4 linked regions of the Drosophila melanogaster genome follow. The protein of the gene in region 3 interacts with the protein of the main gene of each other region in a pairwise test. Each region holds a gene or a part of one and is shown on either strand. Other genes may lie near its edges. The genes, in order: CG13300, CG30080, CG42288 and CG15673.

Region 1 (4,998 bases), on a different chromosome or scaffold from region 3:
GCATGACGATGAGCAATTTACCAAAGCCAAATACTCAGAGACGAAACAAACACGGGATGAAAAAAGGAAAAAAATGGGACGGCGTATGGAGGAAAAGATTCAAATCGAGAACGTGCCCCAAACGAAGAAGAAGTGCCGATTATGTACGTATAAATAGGTATACTTTCGGTTGCGCTGTAAAAACAACAAACTAAATGATTAATGATGAACCGCTTTTGTCTGCTAGCAAAGCATTTCATTTTCACTTTTCCACCGAGGCAGCTCTGGCTCACTATGAACCCCACAATTGGAAATTGAAAATGTTATTTTTCAACTTGAACTTCGATTGCTGGCATCTCGCGTCGCTTTCCACTGCTGGCCGTAATCACTTTGTCATTGCCATCATTTTTCAGCATCAATTGTTTAGCGGCTCGACATAAATTCACTTCAGAACCAAAAGCGTAGAAACACAAGAGAACGAGAACCCGCTCTGGGTCTAATGGAAATTGAGAGATACAAGAATCGAAGCCGAGCAGCTCCAAGTGGCCCGTCACAAATGTATCTGCAGTAAAACTCGATGGAAAACTCGATGGGCTTCAGCCTGATGGAGTGGACTTCCCTGGAATTGGCCTACAGCTTGGCCCGCTTTTAAGTCGCACCGAACCAGAGATCAAAAGAAAACTCGTTGACTTACTCGAGACGAAGCCGGGCTTAAGCTTAAGAAATATTACACCAATATATATAAAGGATCTAGTAGCTATAAGTATATCCAGTAATTTGCTCGGGATTAATGCAAACTTCTGTTGGAGTTTTGAAACAAGTATATAACCATTTAACACATGGTATAACCATGTAAATTAATGCGAAATGTGAATCAAACCGATTTCATGCTAAATGTCAAAGCCTTACATTTCTGTTAGCCACAAACGACTTGTAATGATAAAGGCAGATTTCTCAGCTTATATTAAACGAATCTCCACGGACTATGGTTTGGATACTGCGACTATTGTCTATCCTTTGCGCCAGCGTTTTAGCTTATCAGAAAGATGACAGTGCCAATAGCATTATACTTAACGATGGAGCTATAACGGTAAACACCTCCACATCGGGACTTACGGAAGCGGAGGGAAATACGTATGTACCAGGACCTGGATTCTTTCAAGAGACTTTCCTTGGCAAAAAAACGATTGGTTCATCTCCTCGATTGCCAGATCTAGGAAATAATATCGTCGTTATGAGCGAAAGTAAGCAATTGAAGGCCGGTGAAAAAAACATTGTTAACTCCAAAGTGCAAACGGTTACAAGAAAGCCCAAAATGTCAAAAGCAGATATATTTCATGGTATAAAATTATTTCAAGGACCTATTCATGAGCAGTTTGAAAACGATCTCCATGACCATCATCACGATTAAAACATCCTTCAAAAGTAATTGGGAAGGAAATAAAGTTAAAGGTGTTAATTGAAAATTAATCAATATACGTTCAATATATTAAAATATCACAGACTAATATAAAATTCTTTTAAATACTTTGAAGTTAATAGTTACTAACTAAAGTTAAAAGTTAATAACTTGTTACAAATTATAGTAATTTCGAGTATGAAATCGATAGCGTTTATTCAGGCAGCAACTAATTTGGCATTTCACGGGAAAAAAAGATTCATAACAATAAAGCCCTGTAAAAACCGATCTATTTAGTTTGTCATAAGTATTTAGCCGTATCTTGCCTGTCTTGCCAATACATTCTTTCATAAATCATTCTAGGAATGGAAGGCAATCGAAACAAGCTTAGCAGGCAATTGGATGAAGGAAATGCAGAATTCTTGAAACTCACCTCGTTTTCATGTGCAGCGATGTGTTTGTGTGTGCCAATTAGCCCGTTACGTTGCCAATTGGAATGTTCACTTGACTTTGCCGTGTGCTCAATGCGCTTTTTATGGCCAATGTTGCAGATGCTGTGTTCCTGTTGTCCTTTTCACACGGCGACAACGCGGCGGAGACGTAATCCACAACTTGAGCACCGTTTAGTGTGGCTCGTTGTTGTTTTAGTTGTTGCTGTGTTGCAAGGATAACGGTAATTAACCCGTCGGGGTCGCCTGGCTGCAATTGCATGCCAGTCGTTGGGTTATTGGCCGCCACCGAGCCGCTCGCTTGACACTTTTCAAACTTTTTTTCTCTCAGTTGGGCAGCTTTTTTATTCGCACACTCGGCGTTTAGAACACACACTCATGTACAATGGACGACACACACACACACACTGGGACACGCTTCACTATGCGCTAATTTTTTTATTCCGCGGATGCATTTGCTTGCCTTTTACACTTTTTGCCTGGGTCCGCGTTGCAAATCTTAGCGCGTTGTTTTTAAAGAAAATTCCAAAGACGACGACAACGGCAGCCGTGTTGTTCTGTATGTGTTTTTCCTTACTTTTTTTAGATTTGTTTTTTTTTTGTTTTGTTTTTTTTTTGTATTTGTTTTTTTTTTTGCCGGGTCTGGCGCTCCGGCGGCAGCTCTTCCGCAGAAACAAGCTTGCAAGCAGGTTGACCAAGACCAAACCGAGTCCAAGATGCAGCAAGGAGTTCGAGGTGGAGGTGAAGGTGGTCGCTGCTAGCTGGTTGCTGCCTGCTGCACAAGTTGCAGCCAAAGAAGTTGCAAGTTGCAGGGGCGCGGCTGCGGGCTACAATCTGCAATCTGTTTGTGGCATTAAATCAGTGAACCAAGACGCTCCTCCGCTCGGCGGCCAGATTTGTTTATGCCTCCTCACTGGTTATGCAAATTTGTACTATAGCTGTACGTACAGCTCAATTAACGCGGCATTCTTGGGGATTCTGCCAAACTGCCGATCGCACACATTGATCACCGCACAAAATCACTTAACAATCGGGGTTTATGTATCATATCAAATCATATAGTGGTACCCTGAACTGAAACTCAAAAGACGAAAAAACCAATGTTGCTGATGGGGGGTTGCTATGTTGCCAATGTTGCGAGCTGTTTTTGGTTCTGGTTTGGTTTTTTGTGGGGATATCGTCGTCCGCGGCCCGCTGACTTTTCGGCTGGCAACGTTTCGAACCGGTCTCAAGTACAAACTGAACGGCACGCACTGGGAACAGGTCCGTCGAGGTCCGTGGAACATGGGCGGAACGCCATGGAACCGGCACACTCAATGCCCCCGAAAACTCACTCAACACTTGAGCTGGCCACTCGAGTGGAACTCGGGCGGAAAATCACTCGGCTTGGAGTCTTTTCGGGAGCAAGTCGGTCAGGTGTTTAAGCCGCTGCCGCAGTTGCGTCCGCATCTAATTGTGAATGATTTATGTGGGTCGTCGTCCCCCACCGGGCGGCACCACCAGCAGCTAGGAGCACTAGCACCAGCACCAGCACCGCACCATCGATATGCAGCATAACATCGGGGCATCAACGAATCCACTCTTTTGGCCCAAAGAAAGTGCCATAAGCCGTTGCCGCTGGAATGGTGCAGGCTTTTCTTTCACCGCCGATGCAGTTCGCACAATTGAAATGAATATTCAGATGGCCAAAAGAGCGGAATCGGAAGAGATTGGTGAGTGTTAAAAGTGGGTAGGAGTGTGCCATCCTACACGGAGGAAAAAATGGTGTGCCTATTTGTTGCTGCTTGGTCTCTGCACACTGTTTTTTGTTAGGTTACAACCGTAAAATCAACAAATTACATACAACTTGCATTTGAAATTTGTAACCTAATCCAGCTTGGCAAGCTCGAAATTGCATTCTGTAAGTACGAAATCCCCAATTTATTTTCTCTGTGATTTGAGCAGAAAACAGTTGCCATTCAGTTGGTTTAATCCCGGCCAGGTCCAGGTCGTTGGCTTTAAATTATCAACGGGACAAAGGACACTCTGCCCAGCTGGTCAGGTCCCAACTCCCAACTGGCGTTGGCCACTGGCCATAACTAAAATCGCCAGCACATTAACAGTTCGTGCAGATGGCGAAGGCGAAGGCGATGGTGATGGTGACTCAGGTGGCGAGGTCAGACTGGTCTGGTCTGGTCTGATCCCTTTTGGGGGAGGAAAAGCACCTGCTTTATTATGCAAAAGTTTGCCGGCTCCGTCAGGTGAGTGTCCGTGGAAAATTCTGTGGAGAAAGCGGCGAGCAGCGAGGGGCGATGCGTGTGCAGTCAAAGTTACAGGCGGGTCGAGGTTTGGACTCTACTTAAAACTTAACCAGCACAAAAAATGTGCTCCAAAGGCCAGTGAAATCATGGCAGATAAATGGTGAAAAAAGCACTTAGTTCTTGCTTTTATCAGTAATTAAACTTTATATCATTAGGTGTTTTATCAAAAGAAATTATGGCGGGTGAATACTGCAAATGGACATTTTAATGGGAATGATGCAGCCTGCAATTTTGTTCTCTCTTTTACATTATATCATTCATTTTAACTGAAGATGATGTCAAAGAAAACACAAGTAGAAACTGTTCCCTATTTAAAACCTATTCGCTAGTACCTAACAAATATAACATCTAAAATGACCATTTTTATCTTAACTTTATGTTTAGTAGGATGGTAAAACTTGAACATTAAATTTAAAAAGCGTTTTCATCTCCATCTGTGGCCTAGCAGCTGGAAATTCTTAAAATAAATCATAAATAAATTCAATCAGGCCTTTAGCAATTCCTTGAGAAGTAAACGCTTAGAAAATATGCATTAAAAGTCAAACTTAATATAGTTAGCCATCTTCAGCCATTCGCTCCACCTAATGTCTTGCGACTGCTCAACTAATTCAAGATGGACAGGGCCGACACTCAGATGGGCTAGACAAGTTCGATGCCTTGGATGGGCATCCGAGTGGGCCAGGCCCACCTCCTCCTGCTCCCCCAGCTCCTTCTTCATATCGACCACGACTCCTCTGACAGGCAGAAGACGTCGTCGACGAGTCAGGGATTCGATTCTGGGATGACGATGCCGCGATACATTGCCCGCCAGAGAGCCTTTCGAATGATTTATGAGAAATGCGCCGTTTCTCCGTCTCCGAAGACGGAGCGC
Region 2 (5,302 bases), 1.6 Mb from region 3:
TTGGTTGAAAACCATGCTAAGCGTTGGTGATGTAAAATTAGGAGGATATGTATGTAGATTGAAAAATTGTTTAAATGCATTGTGTAATGTTTAAATAATTAAACATTTTTTAGTTTTGATAATACATTTTCTAGTAATTTTTTATTTATTTATTAAAACAATTTTAAAATACTGAAATACCGCAAAACTTAGTCGTATGTACCAATGTTCTTCATATCACTTGTAGCTCTTTTGCACGGAAATTTAATTTGCTCAAAACACTTGTTCCAATAAGCAAAACGTGATTGCTTATATTAGCTAAGGTCAGCTTCTAGAGTATGCCACGGATAAAGAAAGAAATTCGTGCTAAAGTCGTTTGAAATTGGCCCATTAAAAATGTTTTCTATAAACAAGTTCGGATCGCATGAAATTGCAACCTGTTTTGCAAAGAGTGCGAATAGCTCTTGCTAATCGATATTTCAGAGCCCTCCCGATCCCATGTTATCTGCAAGTTGAGCAAAATGGTTGTGTTCATATACATTGCATTTTATATTATATTTTCACACTAAAACTAATTTCTAAGTATTAACATTATAGCACATAAGTTAGATTAGTTACGATGGGATGAGCTATAGATAATTACACATGTTTCTTAACATTAACATTATTAACATATAACATAACATTATTTGTGCAGTTAGTTGATATGGCGATATGTCGTCGAGCCGGCAATATACACAACCGGTTTTTGTGCCGCACTTTCGAGAGATTCGATTGCATCGGACTAGGTTGAATCGATCTTAGTAGACCACGATGGAGCTACTGCATGGCGTGTCTTGGATGGATGTAGTGGGATCCGGAGTTGTTGTCCTCCCGGTAAATGGCGGTCATCAGGAGCAGCAGGGTGCCGGCGATCAGGGCTCTAAAGACTTTGTCAACAAATCGAATGTGCTCCATGTTCTGATGCTCGTCGACTGGTCGAAGCTTTGGAATTAGCAATCTTAGCGCGTCTGGCTTTGAAACGTTACTGAACGCTCGTCTTGATAGCGACCGGAATTTATTGCAGCTCCAAGCGAGGTGTTTTCCCCCTACTGAAGGTTGGATGGTGGAATTGCTGCGGCAAGGGTAGTTTCCCAGCCGCCGACTTGGAAATGCCCCAAACCCAATCGCGTTACGAGCACTTTACAATGCCACAAATTGTTGTATTTCAGAACTCTGAAACAACAAAGCGAAACCCCCCTCTCGGAACGAGATCGTTGACTGACTCTCTGCGTATCGCTATAATGAATTCAACTAACAAATTTTGGCATCGTCAACGTGCCAAGATTGCAAATCAAAAGCAATCTGTTTTGAAGACGAGGCGACGACGCATTTTCTTGGATCATTGCTCTTTAAAACTGACAGAGACTGGACTCGAGGAATCTGGAAGAATCGATATAGGGAGGGACATTTTTTTATATGTATATCTAATATCATTGTATCCAAACTTACCTAACATATTGCTGGAACTTGGGACTATGGCAAAATTGAATACAACTGCGCCACATGTTTTGCGAGATCTTTCGATATAAGGAAAGAGTATTTGCGGCGAGACTACTAGAGATCCGAATGGGATTCAAGGTCCAGTTAAGGGGAAAATCCCGCTCGATGTTCTGCAAGTGTGGCATCTCTCGATGAGTTCTCGTTTCGGACTGAGGATCAAGGACTATTTGATCTCAGGTAGGGGCGCAAGCAGCTGCATTTTCTTTGCGCCTCCAGATGCCCAGGGGTAGGTCATGTCCTTAAGAGCAGGATGGAGTGAGGATCAAATTCTTGTTACCTACAATTCGCAATATGGTTTACTCTTTAGATGTGTATCTAACCGAAAACCTCTTTATGCTAGTAATATGACTGATGAGCAAATCTTCTCTTAATTCAGTAAAAATTCAGCTTTAAGATACAATTATGTTAGCCGAAAACAAAGATATTAACAGAAATGGTATCAACGCATTCATTCTTCACCCTTTTTTATATTTAAAATAAATATTTAATGTTCTCTATCCTGCACTGCAGCATTATTTGTTTCTCTGTAAATTTAATCACTGCAATATGCAATCAAGCTACCTGTAATCAGATAATCCACAGAGATTCCTCTGAAGTTTGACTGTCTTCTGCATTCAGTTCATATCAGAGCTTGGTGGCGCAATGACGGTTTTGCAATTGCTGCTCCTGGTCATATGCCTTAAACTTGGTCAACAATCCGGACAAGCAGTTCCCTTTGGAAACCAAACAGAGAAGCCCTGTAAGTGCCAGCAGATGAGGGGTGACCTGTAGTAATGTTTCCCTCCCCAAGATCAAACATACTGCACCACCTACGATCAGAAGCCAGGCAAATGCTTACACTACAGAGAATGTTAGTGCATCGCGAAAATAGTTTCGAAGCCAAAGGACCAGCTGACCGCCAAGGACTTGGAAATAAAGAGGAATGCCCCTTGTTTTTCAAATTCTAAAGTGAGTGGTCATTTAACAAAGCGACATATGCTGATATTCCAATCTTTCAAAGAAATTCATTTGCTGTGAGGAATTCGTGCTGATTGCCAGTGAGAGTTCGTGCGGAGAATTCGGGGATCAGAAGATAACTGGAGGGAGCGAGATTCAAATGGGATCTCGACTTTGGATGGCCTTGCTGCAATTGAATCTTTCAAAACCGAATGAGAGGTTATCCTTTGCGTGCGGTGGCACGTTGATTAGCCCACTTATGTATTAAGTTAGTCCGAAACCAGGGAGTCTCGGTTAATATTTTAATATTAATATTAAATATTATTATTATTATATTATTATAAAGCAAACAAGATTATTAAATAGGTGACATTGATAAGATAATTCATGTACTTTAACATAAGCGAATAGGAAAAACAACTTAAGACCAATCTTACTTCGGACAGCCCCTAATGTTGAACGTTTTAGAGTTTATCAGGTATATTGCAACTAATTGCAAGCTCGTAGTTTTCATATGTCTTACGTTAGATACTTTCAAGCTAAATGGTTTGGTTATCTACGCTGAGGGCATCCACTAACTGGGAAATTCGTTGAGCTCGCGTCAATTTCCACGATACGCAGGACAAAGCCGTGATGAAGAAGCCAATCGCTATAAACCCAAAGTTCATCATAGGAACAATCAATTCAATAGCACTGTTACTCACCCATTAGGAGAATGGCCTCGGAAGTCTCATCCTGCCAGGCTTTTGAGACAACGCACAGTAAAATGAATCCGCTGAGCAGGCAAAAGGATCCAACTACGACGGCCAGTGTTATGAGTATGATCACCGGATCGTTTAGAGGACCATAATCAAAGAGTGTACGGCAGAGGGACGTTTTCCGGGGCATAGGAGTACCACTGTTGAATAAAAACTAACTAGTAGATTTGCTAATCCAAAACTGTGCACTACGAACCAGGCTTGAGAATAGGTGGGTAGAATGGGAACAGCTCTGCACTCCATGGCGCTCCTAAGGAAACTGAAGTTGGAGCTCCACACTAATGTTTTTGGGTGGCTGGCGGGCCCTACTTCTCCACATTCTAAATTTAGCCCTCAGTCGCGGCTGACGATCGCAGACGCGTGTCTGAGATTGGAGTTAGGGCGTTACATTATCTATTTATAGCCATCTAGGAAATGGTTCGATCCGGCGGAACTAGCGGAACAGATGTTTGAGTTCAGCCGGCTACTTCTGCAGTCACAATGCGTCTATTTTCGTATCTATTTTCTATGCAGAGTTCAATGCTCTGTGCGTTGAGCTGAAGAAGAAATCGAAGATCCCGAGAAGTCGTGTAATGTAATAAATCAACTTCATTACTGCCTCATAAACGTCGAAAAAGGAGGCGTGGCGGGGGCGAACAAGTGCGAATCATTAACTCGATGTCTCGAAGTTCACGTTTCGCATGTGCCAAGGTAGCGTTGACAACCGACACGCGCAGTTTCCCCCCGCATTTTCCGCCCATCACCGGCGTAGTTATAGAAATATACTTGGCTGCTGCATTCAAGCGAGCTGTAAATTATGCAAAATAACGACGTCAAAGTTTCAATATAATGAAGCCAACGGACTGGCGGGAGTTTCGGGGCCCGCAGGTTGGGGAATATTATAGTCTGAAATTTCATCCCTAATGTTTCTATGCCATTAAGCCAAATAGAAAACGAAAAGCAACTTATGTGCCATAATGTTATACCTTTAGATTCCATGGATGCATGAGGGTGAATTTAAAGTTTCATTTCATGCACGTACTTAAGTTTTAAATGGTTTCGAAAGTATGTGAAACGACTAGTTGTGAGTTACCATTAAATATATTACTTTACAATTGTTTAATTGAATTTCGGGTGCATGTAAAAACTCTAAGGTTTCTTTACAACAGTTGAATGCTAGAGGTTATAACATTTTTCCCCTTGGTTGTGGCCTGAGACCAACACTCAATCACTGCCCCAAGTCCTGAAGACATAAAAATCAAATCGAAGCCGTCGCCATAAACAATTATGAACTTTGTTGCACATTGTTGTCCACACATGGCCACACGGATCCTGCTCCTTGTCGTCGCCTTGGTTACATTGTAAAACGTTTTATTGTCGCCACCATCTGGCGACGATTTGTTGGCAGCAGCGCACCGCCGCCAGACGCCCAGCCACCCACTGAAACCACCGAACCCACCAGAGGTGCCAATATATCCTTTTTCTTGCTTATTTCAAACCCATTCAGCTAATGGAAAAATACCATTCCCGGTTGGAAAGGCATAAAATATGACCTGATATGTATCTAATTAGAAAAATTACTCCAAAATAATATTTAAAAGTTTTTTGATAATAATATTTTAAAATTATTTTGATAAATAACCGTACTTCTTTTTTTAATTTAACTTTTTTTGCTTATTTGCTCATCACTGAACCCACCCTAAAAATCCGATTTCAAGGTGTAAGCCGGCGGCACGACGACAACTGTTATGCTTATCGGATGCTTTCTGAATAAGAATAAGAATTCGGATGCGGATGTGGATGTGGATGGGACTCGAGTGCGGATCCCAGGCGCTGAGGCAAATTGCTGCTGATTGTCAGGTTCAGGCGACGCTGCGTAAATAACTGAAAGTGGTCCGAGGTGCCAACTGCCTTTGAGCCGGACCCAAAAGTTTGGCGAAGCACATTAGACGGCGATGGCCAAACTTCGGACCGATTAAGTTGGGAGTCGCAATGAAAAGGGCAGTTGGCAGTTGGCAGTCGGATGATGGTGATGCTGAAAATCTTATCGCCGCACAAGAACCCGTTTCTTTTTAGTGCCGCAATCAGCGCTGTTCACTTGCAATGGC
Region 3 (2,849 bases):
AAAGAGCAAATTAAGCGAATAGAACGGCTAGAAGGAGATCTCCCAGTGGAGCGGGAGTAGCTTCGTTTTTTTTTCGTGGACCGTGCGATAGAAAGCCGTCAAAATTACGACATACCACCCACCCACGCCCAAAGTCAAACAGAACCCGGCCAATACGGACGCCATGTCCGGGTCGGGTGCGTTTGACGATGAGCCGCCGCCGGAGCCGCGGGACGGATGGCTACTGGTGCGCATCCATGTGCCGGAGCTGAATGTCTACAAGTGTCTGCAGTTCCCATCGGAGCGGCTCGTTTGGGATGTCAAGCAGCAGGTGCTCGCCTCGCTGCCGAAGGTAAGTCGGTCACTGTCATTACCACTGCGATACCCATTGTCTTTTCGGTGTATATAGAGCACGGGCATGTCTCATGTGCGCTAAATACTCACTAAACGGGGAGAAATATGTACATCCGAAATGGGGTCTACTTCACATAGTATGGAGTTCTGCTCAAGCGAAATTATGATCTGTATTTCTGTATCCTACATGCATTATTTTATTAGGCACATCAAATGCTTGCTCAACATACTAAAATTTGTAAATATCATTATTATTACTATTATTACACATAACCGGTTTCCAGTTCATCTTCGTAGGCGAAGAGCAGTTCTATGTAGTAGGACCAAACCACCAGCCAGGCATACACTAAAAGTACTATAAAACATTAAATAGTATACTTAATTTAGGCTTTAGATTCATGATTATTGGGGGTACCCACACATTGTGATGACAGTCAGGATGATGATGATGGTATTAAAGCTGTAAACGGTCAGGGCAAAAATGTGCACAATTATCCAAATGGGTGTGAAAACCAAAAATGGCAGGAAGAGCATCTCGTTGTTCTACAAAATTATGAGGTATTATAAGCATATGCTAAATATATTGGGAATATTTATAATAGACAGATCACATACATTGTGCACTCCCAGGCAGAGCATGGCCGAAACTATGATGCCGAAGAAGGAGAAGACCATGGTGGCCTTGAGGGCCGCCGGTGCTGGGATAAGGGACCTCTGATACTCGTTCGGAAAGATGCACTCCATCATGAAGCCGGTGCCGATGGTGATGTAAATGAACCAGGTTAGAAAAATGCATCCGAAGAGCAGCACACCGAAACGCAGGGAATAGCAGTAGCAGCACTTGGTAAAGATCTGCTTCAGATATTTGCAGCGACAGGCCATGATTGATCCGATCCTCAGCCGCACTGCAAGTTTTAAACAACAATTTTCAAAGCTTTCCTGAGAAACTGAAATTTGTTGAAAATCTAGTTTGTATAAAAGGGACACACTGAAAGAAGTAAACTAGATCAGTTAAATTCAGTTACACGTTAGTTTAACATTTATTTTACAACTCATCAAATTGAATCGTCAGAATCCACACTGCTCAAATATCGATAAAAAGCCAGCACTATTAGCAGGGAATAAACGAGACCAACTAGGGGGTATGAAAATCAAGACATTATTCAGACATATTCAATCAAAAATGGCCAACACCCACCTATGATGAACACCTGAACGGCCAATATAATCGGCGAAGGTTTCGACCTGGCCAACTGGACAACGGCCATTAGGAAATATAGGGATAGTATAATTGCATAGATGATAATCCACATAAGGACAAAGCCTCGCTTGCTCTGCATTTGTAATGTTATAAAGCATTAGAATCTTGAAAGAAACCAATTGAATCTCTTACCTTCGAAGCAGCATACACAAGGAGTATAGAGCTCAGAGTTCCAATTGTCAGGATCGGAGACATGATGACGGGTGCCCACCATTTGTGGGACACTTGCTTGATGAAAATGGTGTCATCCGAATGCGTTATCAGCTCCCCAACGTGAAATGTTATGAAGATGGCTCCAATGATTATGCAACCCACGTTGAGGGGCAGGAAAAAGCAGCACTTTTTAAAAAACATGCCGCTACAGAAATTTGTGATTTTTTTTTACATGAATTTCGCCCAAAACAACAGAATGCAAGGAACAGTTGATCGTAAAATTTTTGCGTTAGTTATTTAATATTTGAATCAATAATAATCTTGCACTAAGATTAAGGATCAAAATCCTTAAAAGACACAAATTCACAATCAAACTAAATGCATTTTGCATTGAATCACACAAAAAACCAATTACTGTGGAATCGCAATGCAATTTTTCAACAGATGTTGTTGATTGAAATTTTTATGCAGCCAAAGGCTGACACGTGCCCTTACAACATAAAAACGACCACGCCCCCTCAGCCGCCCTCGAATGGCTGCCAAATGGCCCTCGTGAAGTTTCAATTTTTGAAGTTCAATGCAATTTATCGGCAACTGCAATGTCTGAGGTCGTGCGCCCAGTTGGAAATCGTGACGCTGCAGATCCAAAGATATTTGACAATTGAATGGCAGTCTGTCAAGGGGAGGCAAAAAAAAAGTGTCAGTCACAAGGAAGGTTAGTTTTTCAATGGCCAACAGATTAGGAGAACTACGTGTTAACATATTCACATATGTTACTTAGTTTGAAATATGAGTAAATGCGTGGTCAGGGGGTCAAGATCAGCGGTTATTTGCCCTTATAATGCCGTCAAATTACTCACCGAATGAAAGGCACTTCCCCGCTCCTTTGTGCTAATGAAAGCCAAACAATGGTCAATCAATTGTATACATTTAATCGCAATTTGTTGAGCAAATTGCTGTCGAAACATTGTCAAGCGTAAATGCAATGCGGGGGCCTCGCCCAATTCAATATTGAAACCGCAAAATTGCAAACGGAAACTCTGGGCGATACCCAAACTGAAACCGAACTGGATTTGAAATCACACTGGTATCGATTCGAATC
Region 4 (6,868 bases), 7.5 Mb from region 3:
AACAACAACAGGTCTGTTTTGGGCCAGATGTTACCTTCGCTCGATCTAAACAACGGCGGCTGGAAAGAAATTGAAATTCACTGGAATCGATCAATGAATGAACCGAACGCCTGACCCTGAGCATCCAAATGGCAATGGGAGGGGGAAGTGCCTTATTTATGTTTGCTTAACTTGCCCCATTATTTGGCCAGCGCAGTGTTCAAACAAACAGTGTTTTCTCTTGGATAAACGCACGGCGAGCACTTCAACTCCAGATCACCTGATACTGAATGAAGGGGGTTCAGTTTCAGGCCTTGTCAATCCCAATCCGTTCGCATCAAGTGTAAGTTAACATCAGAACGAAAAAGCTTCCCCCGAACGCTTATCAGTACTCAGTTTTGAATTCGTTTCCGCAGAAAGCTTTCACCCGAGCGAAACTAAATGGTTTTGGTCTACGGAATCTGTTTGCTCGAAAGCTTTTGCCAAGCAAGTTGCCAGATAACTTGCCCCCAACTTTGAATATTCCCCATAAGCCCCTGATTAACTGGAAAGCCGAGTTCTTGGTAAACATTTAGCAAACATCCCGTTGGATGAATCATTTACGATATGGCTATGATTTATTAAAGTTAATTACTTAATCATCTAGTTTCAGTTGAACTGGCATTTGAATGCATATGCGCACACAGATATCTTTCATTGTCAGTCTTTTTGTGGGGATCTTACGACATCTAATACTTGGCCCTTTGCCATAAACAGCAAATATCACAGAGTCGGAATAGTAAGGCCGGATCCAGGGATCCACCGTCGGCTTATCGGTTGCTTAGTCAGCGGACTTCTGCAGTTCATTGACGATGATCACATCGCAGGTGACTGCGGCTGGCAATGGGTTGGAAGTTGGGGGCGGCGTACCCGACGGTGGTGCACCCAATTCACCGGCCTTGTTGCTGAACGGTATCACAAACACGCTCGTCTTGGCCGCGTGCTGCATCTTGATCACCGTATCGTAGCTGGGAGGCGCAAATTCGCTGTAGGATGGCGAGGGCGTGGGTGGTGCCCTCAGACCCTCGGTGGATTGACCTCCGGCGGGACGACGCCTCATGTCGCGGCATCTGCGATCCGAACAGGCCATCAGCATGAAGAAGGCGGCCAGGGCCAGGAAAGTGGCCACATACCACACAATCGTGATCACATCCATTGCCGTCTGGGACAGATCGTTGGGCGACTCGACGACAGCTGAAAGTGTTAGGTATTAATTAGTTTTGATCGTGACTACTATAGGGCTTATATCGCAGCCAAAGCATAGACAAATCTCCCCAGTCTAATTGAAATATAAGGTCCAGACTCTATATGGAAATAACTAGAATTGCTAGAATTTCATCCCAGCAGCAAGTTATCAGTTGGTGCTGTTGTGCTTCTAGTCACGAATTGTGGGTCTGTGCTATAAACTTTATGACGAAACTGCTCGACTGCAATACTTGCGCGTCATCGAACTACGCTAATGGCTTAAATGAGCCCCATTGATAGGGGCTAACCCTAGTGGCGGGTATATAGTAATTAGACGGGAATCGTTGTTGATTGCCGGTTTCAAGGGTCCACTGAAATTAAGATATTACCGGTGGGCGAGCGTTACAAGGGTTACAAATGTTTATGGCAGTTGAAATGGCCTGTTCAATCGATCTCGTTTATTTTCACTTTGTATGGTACTCAAGTCAATTCTACTACCAAAGTAATCAGTGACGTTTTGTAGCAAATCTTATCGATATAAATCAATTTAATTTATTCTTTAACATTAATAAGACTCTAAAAATAAGTGGCTGAGTGGCTGACAGCCTAAGTGAAATAGAAATGATTGAACGATTTACTCAAAGTATCTTTTTCTATCTAGCACAAAAATCTTAGTCTGATGCCTCATGCACATTTAGTATTGCATCCTTCAGATACTCACTGTTCTTGTAGACAATAATCCGCGTGTTGTTTGAGATGGTGTCGGGAAACAATTCCACCTCGGTGGTTCCGTTGGCGTTTGTCAAGTTGTAGGGCAGTGGGCGGGCGGACTCGTGGAGAACGTTCTCCACGCTGAAGAGATAGGACTGGCCGTCTACGCAGCACGAGCTGGCGATGATTACTGAAAGGAAACAAAACGGCCACGCCGAACCAAACCAAACCGCACCGAAACGAATCGAATCGAATTGAATCGGAATGAGGCGGAAGGGAGGGGAACGGAGCGAAGCAGACAAGCTGTATTAGCGATATTATGGTATCAGGAAATCAAGACAGAGCGGTGAGCTCACTGATAGCTTATCATCGCCACTCTGGGGCGTGCGAACGAATGGATCTTCCTCCAGGTGGGAGTGATCAAGTCAAACATCTTCATCGGCGACTGATAAGGAATCTAAATATAACCAGTGCCAGCAGGGTGTTCCCCCCCGTAAATGGATCGCTAAATAATCTCAGCCAATCGGGCGACTAGGTTTACGGCCAAAGCCACTTAACGATAAGGCCCTCAATGACGACCCGGTGTCTGAGGCGGCTTTTGGGTATATCTCCAGCCCTGATACGACTGGAGAAGATCTCTAGTCACTGCGGCTAGTGGGGTAGGTGTTAGTTCGTCCACAATGGTCGGGCATTATCTTCCTGGTTGCGGTTTGCAAAATATTTTGACGCACCCATCACAAACACAAACACCATAAAAGCCAGTTAAGCTGCCGCCAATAAAACATGGCTATCTCATTTAAAGCCCATTCGATGAGTTGGCAACCAAGTTTGCACACTTCTTTGGCGGCGGCCATATTTCACCATCGAAGGTGCGTTCCCTCTTGGATCGGGATGGATGGCTGGAGACGCACACGGCACACCATCTTTATTTTGAGACCAAGTATCTTTACAACGCCTGTCAATTGCGTGTAATTACCTGATTGCGCGCCCATCACTTCGCTATCAATTTCACCACCTAGCTGATGAAATTTCGGTCGTACGAAATCGTTGACCTAAGTTGGAAATGTGACGACGAGTCTCGATGAGAGCGACAGCTGGTCAATTCCATGAGAAATTTTTGTAGCGCCAGTCCAGAGGAAAGTTGCGCAACTGACTATGAGATAATTCATACGCCCCGTTGTCTAGCCAAAAAAATGTAATTGCTTCATAGATACGAAAGGAAGGTGAATGAATTGCAGTACCAACTCATCGCCACAAATCGCTTGATCTTCTTTTATTAGTAGGAAACTCCGTTCTGGAAAAAATTAGCTGAATGGAATCGTTGTGCTAATTTCTGACAACATTTGGATTCATCTAGAGTCTAGATTCTAGACCAAATGGTCATGTGAAAGCACAGATGTGGAATCTTTCTGCTAGTCGAAAACAAATATTTTCCACGCTGATAAGACCGAAAGGCATCTTCGGAGCTAACTGAATGTGTAACCAGGTAATTAGGAGCAGACCTGGACAACCCTGCTCCACTTCTGCACGCACTACAAACTAGATTAAAGCACTTGATATGTGGCCGCTAAAAATAACTGCCAAAGCTAATGTTTGACTGCGGGTTATTCTTGGGGTTGAGTTTTCAGTCAACAGTGGATAATTGGCGGGTAGATCGGGTGGGTTCGCTTATTTATAGAGTGTCGAGTTCGTGGTGATAAGGTGGCGGTAAAGGAACGCATGCAAACACCATTGGAACGCCAAACAAAGCGAACCCAATGGAAGTGGAAAAACAAGCGGACACAACAAAATATAAGCAATTAAATTCTAATTAGCCACTAATGGCAAAACGTGCTGAAGTCAACGTCAGCAATTCCACTTCACTACTGCGTTGGCACCTGTGCAAACGGAGCATGGGCCATTGGACATGGTATATGGGATATATATTGTTTGGCCCGCATGCCATGTGCTCGCTTGGCTAATGTATCGGAGCTGCAGATAGGCGAACTCCAAGCGCCTTGAACCCGCTTTCTGCTCAAGAAATCGAATTTCGGGAATTTCCGTGAGTGTTTGCCATTATGCCCGAGTTGGGTGGCTTAGTTGAGAGTAGAGTATAGCGCTTTCCTCATAATAACGTCATTTATCATTAGCATTTGGGGCTTGCCAGTGACTTTGGTTTAACCGGTTTTCATAACTTGCGGGAAAATTGCAAGTCGAGTAACCGCAGCCTCACCCCCTTTAAAAGTCCCACTTTAGTGAAATGTCAACGGAACGAGGGGCTTTTACTTTGATTCGCTTGGATGATATTTACGGGGCGATCACATGTCGGTTAATGCCGGCTATCACAACTTATCTAACGGGCTTAGCAGATGACGGTATCGTAAAGACATCGTTAACTGGTTTACGACTACGACGTCTGGATGGAGGACCAAGATGATATGGTCTTGACGCCAGAAGTTCCTCAAACAGACGCCACAGGCTATAATGGTAATTGCGTGTGATAATACAAGCTTAATAGCTATTAAGAAAATTGTTCTATGGTTTGTGGAAGCACAGTTGCTCTTAGGAAACTATATCTTTCGTACTGAAACTAATAAACAGCTGCTCAATCAAGTCTCGATTGTGTTTGTTTGTAGGGGCAATCAATTAATCATAATAGAACGTTTAATAATATTTATGAGGCTTTAATGCCAGGCAAACCGTCACCATTTACGCCAAGAATGAATTAAGCAATCAGCGGTGATATTTCCTGTTTTTTTTTTTTTATTTTAAGCATAGCTTAGAACGACTAGTTCTATGGGATAATTGGCCGTATTATAAAGAATAACTTTCCTACACAAAACGCGATTTCACAGACCCATTCAAACATTGCCTCCTATTGAGCATTATCGGTATACATATATAGGTACCTGCAATCAGCCAGAGTTTGTGGAAGTTCACGTTCGCATAATTAGCATATGCTTGTTTGGAGACTTGCTTGTTATAACGATATATACATAGGTATAGTAGCCAGAGAAGGCCTGTCCCAGACTCACCACCTATCATAATGGGCCACATTGTATGGATCCGGCTGTGTGGCATGGTGCTGTTGCTGCTACTGCTCAGGTAACTCGGAATGTTGTTTGTTTTTAATTCACACACTTGTCGGCTTGAATTGCAATCAATGAATTTCCATAAATCGTTCACTTCACTGAGAACTGCACCGGGCAATTGGAAACGGAGGCGGGCTGGGACTTGACTTGGACTTGGACTTGATTTGGATGCGGATGCGGACTGACCGCCGTATCGAATCGATCTTTCAGCTTCAACTGTGTGTCGCAGACTGAGCGCGTCGCTCGCCATGTCTACAGCTTTTAGCCGGAGCTGCTCTTGCTGCTGGTGGTTCCATCGCTGCCAGCGTCTTTGTGTGGCCCCCGTGCGTATGAGTCACGCGCTCTCCGCCGGGCGAGAAAGTGTAGTAGTGATTCCAGCGATTGGCGGAACTGGTTAGAGCAACGTATATAATTGCTGGCCAAAACATCAAACAATGCGTTCTGAAGGCGGAGGTGCTACCACCGTTGCCACCGCCAAGCCCATGAATGATTGGAACGTGGTTCCGTTCGGGTTCTCCGACTACGATTGTTTCATACAAACCCCCTAAAAAGAACCAAAGTTTAATTTTATAATGATTTTATTTTATTATTTTATATATACTATTTCGGCTAGTAACCACGCGGATAGAAAGCATGAGTGCATAAGTGAGAATTGAATTTTAAAATTAATATATCATATGTATATCCAAAGTTACTAAATATTTATCTTGCTATTCGAAAATAATCTTCTTGCTGCGCAGTTTATGCAAAATATCATTGTGAACTGTAAAATTATCAATGTTAAAGAAGTGACAATGTGTCGCAGATAAGGAAAATGTGATAAGAAAAGTTAATAAATTATAATCAATGTTGGTTGTTTATGCCCTTTGTGTGTAGGTCTTACATGCGCGCTTAAATTAACAAATGTTGCCTTTTCACCTTTAAGAACATCACGAATATCGGTTAAGGTAAGAGCCACACCTCAATTTGCAGATCCTTAGTTACCTTGGTTATTTTTAAAGCTTAAGTTGGCTTTAAAAAAACTGCGAAAGTGGCCCAAAGAACTCTCTGCTCTGCTTAGGGTTATTTTTGGGCGTGAACTCACACCTACACGCCCCTCTGCGAGGTGCTAATACGCTGTGTGAATTTCGTGATCCGACCAAGTGGAGTCGTCAGAAGAAGATGGAGTGAAATTTCTAGGATCCCCCAGTGGTCTGAGATTCGGGTGATGGATGGTGGAGCGGTCAAACTCCTTATCAGGGTGCTTGACACAAATTAAGGCCAATCTATGAGCGACGGAGTGATTTGAGTTCGACCCTGAACTTGATGAATAGATCGAGCGATCGATCAATCGATCGAGCTGCTCGGCTCGGCTCTTTTGTGTGCGTGTTATAATTGGCACCTGGGCGTTATATATAGAGATGTATCCATGGAGCAGCTACCGGTTGCCAAGAGAGCTGCACATTCGCTAATTGAATGGCATACTGCGACTCCAAGGCAATTGGACAATTGTGGGCCGACATTGAACGGGGGCACAGATTGGTCAGCAAATTGTCTCGCAGCTACGATGGCAATAACCAGTTTGGTCAATTGTGACGAGTCAACGACCAGGCGACCCCAGCACGTGCCACATCCAACGCGATCCATCCACGACATGGTTGGTAACAAAGTAAAATCTAATTCAGAACAGTAAGCGGACCAGCATTGATTAGCCCACGATATGACGCAGTGGCAGTAACGCAGTTCCTCTAGTCGTGACCAAACGCCGATTGCTGGGCAGATGAGTTGGTGATGCGGGGGATCGGATTGCCGGTTCGACAGGTTATTGGATAAGGCACGTGCTGATTCACGATGTGTGTCACCATGTGATGAAACCGACACCCTGCAACTGGGGAGGCTAAGCG

What was found.
Region 1: the proteins of CG42288 (region 3) and CG13300 interact in a two-hybrid assay, tested with the Drosophila melanogaster proteins (one large-scale study listed by BioGRID).
Region 2: the proteins of CG42288 (region 3) and CG30080 interact in a two-hybrid assay, tested with the Drosophila melanogaster proteins (one large-scale study listed by BioGRID).
Region 4: the proteins of CG42288 (region 3) and CG15673 interact in a two-hybrid assay, tested with the Drosophila melanogaster proteins (one large-scale study listed by BioGRID).

What each region holds. Positions count from the first base shown.
Region 1 is NT_037436.4:6,349,346-6,354,343, forward strand, and holds the start of CG13300 (uncharacterized protein), read right to left. Parts: upstream 3,046-4,998; 5' UTR 1,812-3,045; intron 1,485-1,811; exon of another isoform or gene 1,391-1,484; coding exon of another isoform or gene 965-1,390; exon of another isoform or gene 931-964; intron 1-930. Other genes in the region: Sfp65A (seminal fluid protein 65A), read left to right, coding at 965-1,390.
Region 2 is NT_033778.4:15,698,218-15,703,519, forward strand, and holds CG30080 (uncharacterized protein), read right to left. Parts: upstream 3,480-5,302; 5' UTR 3,459-3,479; coding exon 3,412-3,458; intron 3,356-3,411; coding exon 3,162-3,355; intron 3,107-3,161; coding exon 2,997-3,106; 3' UTR 1,647-2,996; coding exon of another isoform or gene 1,471-1,646; intron 1,402-1,470; coding exon of another isoform or gene 1,371-1,401; 3' UTR 937-1,370; coding exon of another isoform or gene 799-936; 3' UTR 509-798; downstream 1-508. Other genes in the region: CG42662 (uncharacterized protein), read right to left, coding at 799-936; CG46433 (uncharacterized protein), read right to left, coding at 1,371-1,401, 1,471-1,646.
Region 3 is NT_033778.4:14,089,475-14,092,323, reverse strand, and holds CG42288 (uncharacterized protein), read right to left. Parts: upstream 1,294-2,849; 5' UTR 1,216-1,293; coding exon 949-1,215; intron 877-948; coding exon 753-876; intron 689-752; coding exon 597-688; 3' UTR 510-596; downstream 1-509. Other genes in the region: CG42287 (uncharacterized protein), read right to left, coding at 1,389-1,468, 1,532-1,667, 1,727-1,948; prosap, read left to right, coding at 164-331.
Region 4 is NT_033778.4:21,607,855-21,614,722, forward strand, and holds CG15673 (uncharacterized protein), read right to left. Parts: upstream 5,218-6,868; 5' UTR 4,951-5,217; coding exon 4,929-4,950; intron 2,105-4,928; coding exon 1,925-2,104; intron 1,213-1,924; coding exon 800-1,212; 3' UTR 539-799; downstream 1-538.